2 linked regions of the Caenorhabditis elegans genome follow. The protein of the gene in region 2 interacts with the protein of the main gene of each other region in a pairwise test. Each region holds a gene or a part of one and is shown on either strand. Other genes may lie near its edges. The genes, in order: T06C10.3 and npr-21.

The links.
Region 1: the proteins of npr-21 (region 2) and T06C10.3 interact in a two-hybrid assay, tested with the Caenorhabditis elegans proteins (one large-scale study listed by BioGRID).

Annotation. Positions count from the first base shown.
Region 1 is NC_003282.8:7,868,528-7,872,452, reverse strand, and holds the start of T06C10.3 (Tyrosine-protein kinase), read right to left. Parts: upstream 1,703-3,925; 5' UTR 1,654-1,702; intron 1,606-1,653; 5' UTR 1,589-1,605; coding exon 1,521-1,588; intron 1,472-1,520; coding exon 1,394-1,471; intron 1,346-1,393; coding exon 1,231-1,345; intron 1,094-1,230; coding exon 749-1,093; intron 580-748; coding exon 20-579; intron 1-19. Other genes in the region: flp-10 (FMRF-Like Peptide), read right to left, coding at 2,826-2,956, 3,451-3,523.
Region 2 is NC_003284.9:17,155,913-17,159,837, forward strand, and holds the start of npr-21 (G-protein coupled receptors family 1 profile domain-containing protein), read right to left. Parts: upstream 2,057-3,925; 5' UTR 2,046-2,056; coding exon 1,958-2,045; intron 1,368-1,957; coding exon 1,288-1,367; intron 1,237-1,287; coding exon 1,084-1,236; intron 1,032-1,083; coding exon 926-1,031; intron 874-925; coding exon 797-873; intron 560-796; coding exon 483-559; intron 431-482; coding exon 265-430; intron 1-264.

The sequences.
Region 1 (3,925 bases), on a different chromosome or scaffold from region 2:
ACGGAATCAAACAACAAACCGATGAATACAATTGTTTTGATGCAAATACTCGATACCTCTACCTGCACCAGAACAAAACTTGATTTTCTCCACAATTGAAACAGCTCCTTTCTCCTTCTTCATATGATCTTGCAAAGATCCACCTTTCACCAATTCCAGCAGAATGTAGAGCGGCTGTTCGTGATGCGCAACTCCATACAAACGAACGACATTTTTGTGATTGAAGTTTCGAATAAATCTCGCTTCATTCATCATTTCCTTGATCTTCATTTTGCTGAGGAATGCCGACACTTTTGTCATTTTAATCGCAACATCAACATTCGTTCCATCTTTAAGCTTCAAAGTTCCAGAGCAAACTTTTCCGAATGCTCCTTCTCCGAGAACTTTTCCAACTGTTACGTCCGAATGCATAAATTCCCATGATTGCTGAAGAATTGGATGTTTTAATTGAAATGTTCCAGATGCACATCCTCCAGGGTTCTTTGTGTAGTAAGTGACAAGATCCGAAATTGACTCAAAGGTTCGAGTAATCTCACAGAAGAATAAGTTTGTTACACGTTTTATGACAACGTTGCGGACCTGAAATAGTGGCAATGTACATCGATATTTTATGATGACGCTTCCATGCCTACGCCTACCTACTACAGTCATTTGCGCGCGTTACCTCTTATAAAGTACTACATCGGCGCCCTCAGTCAGATCAGGTAGGAAATATAGGCAGCATTCAGGCCTGAATCAATCTCCTCACCTTCTTCCTATCCTCCTCGTCTTTTGATACCGTGGACACTGGAATGAGTGATAGAATCACTTCCCGATTGACTTTGTGCTCTCCTTCCACAACTTCAGAAACTCGAAGAAGGAAATCGCCTGGATTGTGCAAAGTTGTGTGAAGATCCTCTCGAGGCAAAAAGCCGTGGTAGAAATTGAACTCGCGAAGCTTTTTCTCCAAGATTGAAAAGTCTTCCTTTTCAGGGACAATTGATAGTTTCTCAACAGAAGCCGAAACAATGAGATTAGACTTTTTTTTCTTCTTCTTCTTTGGTTTCTCTTCGGGAGCTTTCAATTCTTGACTATTGTCCGTATTCTGCGTGGACTGAAAAAAAAACAGTTAATTCGTAATTCCAACAGTTACTTCGCAATGTGCGCACAATGGATCGAGAGCCGAACACAATGTGCATATTGCGGAAACGATCATCGCAAATTAACTGTGAAGTGGCTTTAAGCTCTTACCTCGACCTTTGCCTTCACTTTTCCCTCCACCTTCGCCTCTACCGACTTCTCAATTTCTTTCTTCTCTTCTACCTCCTTCTTGTCATCCTCTTTTTCTTGCTTTGCTGGCTCTTTGCTAAAAACCAAACTATCGAAATTCATTTATTTTCTGAAAATCTCAAACCTTGGAGAGGAAGCAGCATTCATCGCTGGAGCACTTTGAGTAGGAATGGAATTTGAAGATGAACTAGATGTACTGCTTCTGAAAAAGAAAGATTGAAATTTCAGCTGATACCCAAAACTAGACTCACTTTGAATTATTCGAATAGACCGATGACTGCATGTACACGGATCTTGTAAACAGCTCGTTTGATCCCATTTTGCAATGTTTTCCTTCTGAAAATCAAATGAATTAAGAAGCCTGAAAATTTGAAACTTGCGTACCTTTTGTGATAGAAATAATTTTCCAAATTTAATTGGAAAAGAAGTTGTGAGAACAATTCGAAATAATCAAAAATCGATTGATTTTATAGATTTTCGATGTTTGTTTTTTCCAAGTTGTTTTTTTGCGTTCTCATTTCGGGTTCACGTTTTTTTTTGTTTTTGGATTTTTAAAACCAAATGCTGATGTTTTTTATCACTTGGCTCAAAATGTCCTTATAAAAAATGTTACTTTAATCGTCAGGACTGCCACCTCCTTTTTTATTTAGAGTACACACAACCCCCTGAAGAATTACTGTAGTAATCACAAATCTACACAAAAAAATCTTAAAATTTGTCTCTCTTATTTGATTATATAAAGGACGAAGTTTGGGGTTTCATATGCAGTTTAATAAAAAAGTCTTAAATTAAATTCAGTTGGTAATTTCGGCGGTCGCCAAAATTATGACTAGTTCGTTCTTGTACTGATTGAGTAGTTTTCTTGGAGCTTTAATGTTTAACAGATCTCTACTAAAGTTGTAAACGTCAATTAGTAGATTTTAGTGATTAATAATAACGTAATAATGTAATAACTGGGAAGAAATAAACACAAAGTCATAATAGAAGCAGATTCTTTCATCCATATTCACAATACCCTGATTCACGAACTCGGAAATGTTCTATTGAAATAGAGAACTCAAAGTCTTGAGCATAATAATTTTTATGATATTAAATATAAAAATACAACAAATCGTTTTATTCGCTGTGTATTTTGAAACTGAAAATACTGGAATGCGACAATCAAACAAAAAAGCATTGGGATGTGTTCGGGGGTCGATGGGTGGAGAAGAATTCAAGAGAAATAAAAGACGAAAAAGAGAAGCAATTGTAAAATTAAATGAATATAATTTATTTGGTGACATTTTAGTTAAAAGCGCTTCGAGATCAAATCTTCGTTATTAGAAATATGAAACGAATATTTTTCAGGTCAAGAAATTTGATGAAACGAAAACTTGACGACTGGTGGGGATGGTTGAGAAGAAGGAATTAATTGTTCAGTGTTCAATAATTGTTGGATTACTGTAACATGAGAATGAGAGACTAGACGAGACGCAGAGAAAGAAAGGGCGCATGATGACGTGGATTTTGTTGAAGATGATGAAGAAGATGATGAAAGAGATGTCGGAATGCCGGATTCAAATGAGAAGTTGGTCGAGATACAAAAGTTCTGCATTTGGATCGACTCTTCGTTTTCCGAATCGAATGTATCCAGAGCGTGCCTTTGGTTGACGCTTCTCCGATGCGACTTGACGACGAGCACGGGAAGCTGGAAATGGATTATTAAGATAGTTTTTACTCTGATCAATCCACTTTGATTGACAGTTTTCGGTTTTATTTTGTTTCTCTTTGACGCTGGGAAAACTCAAACTACAGAATATTATTCTGTGAGATCGCCTAAAAACAACAAAATCAGTTGTTTGCCAGTTGCAAAACTTGTAACAAACAAATCTGTGTATTTTACCCAAAATAGCTCGGTTTTTTATAATGACTAAGCCAGCTTGTTAAAAATTTTTCGAAAAAAATCTGATGAAATTGGAAGTTATTTAGTAAAGGAGAACTAACGATATTATGAAGGCATACTCAAAATGTTTTCAAGTGAACGAATTTCGTAGTGAAAATTCTCATATGCCCAAAAAAACCAGTAAATTTTTCTCATGGTTAAAAAACGCAACTTTCAATATTTCAGATTCTTACATGATTTTACTTTGACTCATTTACCGAAAACTGAGTGTATACTAGAAATACAGTTAAAAAGCTTACCATCGCTGATAGGAACAGCAAAAACAGCGGCCAAGCAGAGAACAAAAAAGACGAAAACGATGGAGAGTTGCATCCTTTGCTGTATGAGTTGATTGCCTAGAAAAGTGTCCATGATTCGAGAATAAGAAAAGATTTAGGCGTATAATTAGTGAGATGGGTGAATTCATGGTAAGGTCATGAGAATGAGGAAAGAGGAAAGAAAATGAGAAAATGTTGAAACGAAAGTAGGTACTCTAGTCTCTGAAGAAATGTTAATAATATCAAAAATTCAGCGTGCTTCTTGGTGGTCTTCTTTCATCTTTCACTCCTTCTTCATCACATCATCTTCGGGTCTTTTTTGATCACGTACTTTTGATGACGTGGCAAATTGAATTGTTCTGGTAATGTCTAACAAGGAAAAGGAATAATTGAACACTTCTCTCTACTCATTTCAAAAACAAACTGACCTTTATTATCGGTCATAAACGTTAATTGG
Region 2 (3,925 bases):
TAATAAATGTTCCAATTTTTGAACTGGTTTTAAACACATGTGCCTAGTCTTTTGATTTATACATGTACTTTTTTAAAAAGCAAGTTTCAAGCTAAATATCAAATGCTGCCCTATACCAAACTTTTGAATAATTCAACAAATTTCAATAACTTTTGGTTTTACCATATGGCTAAGTGTCATCTCTCAGAACTAAACGTTTGAGAAAAAGTGGTTCGACTTGGCACAAACAAACTGTGAACACATGTTCTGAATCTTTAAACAAACCTTTCTCCTCTTCTCCACTGACACACCGCCGGTTGAGGCTTCGGATCGCCAGCTTGATCTTGGCAAAAGCTTGTTGGCGGAGTGTTTCGTGATTGTTGCGGCCTTGCTCACCACGAGGCCGATGGTAGCGTAGATGCAAAGAAGGATTACTAGAGGGACGGCGTACCTGAAAAATTTTAAAAGTCAAAACAAAATATATATAGAGTTGACGAACGCACCAGACGATGAAGTTGATAGTGGCGACTAGCTTCAGGAGGTTGAATCCATAAATTTCCACATGACGTCTAGTGCAGATCTGGAAAAATCTTTATTTCGAGAAAAGGAACTTCTTGAACTAATTTGGTAATACTTCAACTAACAAAAGATCTTTAGAAAATTCTTTTAGAAAAAAAACAATGGCAAAGTTTGCATATTTAGCCATATTGTATCCAAGCGGTTTTAGAATTTTTTTTAAATAATAGTTTTTAGCCTGAATTTTTTCATACTCGGCTGTGGTTAACCTGTATGCAGGCAGGTAGGTGAAGTTACTTACTGTGTATGTCTCATTCCCGTCTGATATCTCTAAAAACTGGCTAGCCACTACATATGGGGTGTTCATAACTGCGCTAGCTGAAATTTAAGAAAACATTTCATTTCCACATTTCTTTTTAAGTCAGCTTACTTAGCCAAACAACAGCTGACGATGTGATGAGCACTTTTTGTGAAAATGCTCTTCGCACCCGCAATGGACGGAGCACCGCAATCAATCTTTCAACCGAGACCAGCACCTGAATATCAAAATGTTGCTTTTCAAAGATTCCCTACGTCATGATTGCCTACCAGAATTCCAGCCGACACATTTGGTATGAAGTGTAGTACGTAGATGTATGAATAACATAACACTTTGCCAAACGGCCACCGTCCATGTCCTTGGAATACAAAATTCACAGCGTTCTGGAGAACGCAGAAGATTCCGACAAAAAGGTCGGCAACCTAGAAATAGATTATTTTCAGAATAGGAGGTGAGTTTTGGAGGAGAGTTACCGTCAGATTTGCCAGAAAGAAGTTGGGCACACTTCGGACTCGTTTCTGCGAGAAGAAGACCAGCAGAATGATAAGATTTCCTGAAAGAATTTATGTTATAGCTTGATGGTAATTTTGTTCAAATTTGCCCATAGCTTAATTTCCTTTTTTAAAATAAATTGTTCAAGTTCTAATAGTTTGTCCTCTACCACTTACTATTAACTACGTACTTCTACCATATAATTTGAACCTAAATGTCGATTATCAGTTTAGTTTCACCAATTATTGCTCACTTCAATGTAATCTAATTATAGCCTACTGTTGATTCTGTCTTCTGATATATTGTCATCTGATATTGGATAACAAATCAAAAATGAATGTCATTGTTTGCTTGGTTGTGTGTTTGCCTAGCTACGAAAACCGTCCTAATGAGAAAATCAAATGAAATTTTGTCGCATTCACGAGTCTGAGTTAGAAGAAATTAGAAAAAAAAACAATTCGATTGTGAAGAAAAGGTGTGAAGCAGAAAATGATCTCTGGGTATGCCGGAGCATGCTTTAGGTTTAGAATGAATTTTGAAAGTGAACATCGAAAAACTTCGAAAAAAAACCATTAATATCTGCAATATTTAATATAATCATTGCAAAATATTTTCAGATATTAAAAATATGAACAAAGATCCTTGGCATACCGATTATAGTGGCCAGAAAGACAAAAAGGTAGGATACACAGAGCAAAAAGTGTACCACAGGATGATTAAGTGGGGAGTCGCTTTCCATTCGTTCTGAAAATATTCTGGTGAAAAAACATTGTAACAGTTTCTAAAAACGTAGAGCAGGTGAAAAGTTTTAAGTGTAAAGTTCGAATTCCAACCACACAAACAGAAATAACACTTTGAGAATAATTGAAAAATGTTGTGACGCAGGGGAGGAGCTAGAGCAACGAAAAAGAAGAATGAAAACGATACTGGATTTTCGGCCCTAAGATTTCAATGAATGATTAAAGATGTGAATGAGATGAAAAAAACGAGAATGAAATGAAAAAAGTTGCAAGACGAGACGGGCAGTTCAAAGAAGAACGCTTGAAGTGTTGTGAAAAGTTCACGAAACACATCTTCTTTTTGCCGTCTAATTTCCTCTTTTACTTTCCAAGTAAAGAAATTCGGGGGAATTCGGAAAAGAATTCGGAGAGAAAAGGAAGTCGGGAAGACACATAGATCAAGTGAATTTTTAAAAAAGCTCAAAGTATCCTAGGTTGACACCCACCACATCATTCTATGAATAGAAGAGCAGGTGGAAATGTTTCAGGGAATAGGAGGAAGAAGTTACGATGTCGTTCAGAGTTGACGATATGCACATAAAGTAGGCGGATGTCGAAAGGTGGAACTCAAAGATCGGAAGTGTACAAAAAGTCAAAAGTGAATAAGCTTTAAAGATAAAACTTGAAGTTGAATGCCAGCGGGATTTTGAAAAGGTTAGTCACCGTAAAATTAATAGTAACTTTCACACTTCATCGAAAAGTTATTTTTCGAATATAACAGGTACTCAAGTTGTAAATCGCGGACTTCCATCGGTGTCGGCTGCGCATTTAGCATAAAACCACACCCACGCAGGTTTACCCCCCAACTGTTGGTTATCTGAGAACATAGATTTAGCTACAAAGGATCACAGGGAATTGTCTGTTCAAGTTCAAATTTTCAAACTCAACCCAACAAAAGTGTTGAATGCTCAATTTTCACAAATTTGAACACATCCATTTTCGGAGTCAATTGCTCAGAAAATTTCTAAGTAATGATGCAACACGGTCCGACAACTACCGTGTTCCGCGCGGCGATGTTGAGAGCAACGCGAAACCTGGGAGTTGTTGGACTCAGACACGTTCGCATTTTTGGAAAATTCAGAGTACCAGAGCGAACATTTTAAACTAAAAGATACTATCCTTGAGCTCAAAGAAAATCTAAGAATTTAAGAAAAAAATTTTAATGAGGGCATTTTCCAAATTTACATATTTGCAAGTCAAACCAAATGGGAGAAAATTACAAGAAAAAAAAATAATATCACAAATTCAAAAAATTTCAAAATCTACAAAGAAAAATTGTTTTCTTCCAGCTCAAATCGCATAAATAATGACGTGAATTTCTATCCCAATTTTGCCAGTCATTACTAACCATTAGACACTTAATACGTGTGAGAACGCGCGCAAAAATGTTCATTTTCACGGGAATTGTTTTCTTGGAAATTTGTAAATCATTAAATGTGAATTTGAAATTTTAAACTAAATGTTTAATGTCGGAAAAATGTTTTTTTCGCAAATGATTAAAAAATTTATTTCGAAATTTTTGAATCAGGCTAGATGCTATGAACAGCCATTATCCTTTTGATTTATGATAAATTCTCAAAAAATCACACTCCAAAATATGAGAACTTTCGAAAAAAAATGGAGACGTGAATGAATTAGCACCTCCTGTTTTTGCCGAGCGTCTGCCTACAAAACCTGGCTTCTTCTTCCCGGTTGTCTAAGAATACCGAGTAATATATTTTGCTTTTCCGATGCTCAATTCAGTATGAATTCTATTACATCTACAACTCAGACATATTTCTGAAAACAAATTGTGGTTTGCAAAAGTAGGGAGCACGAAACTTTGAGCGAGTGCAATAAT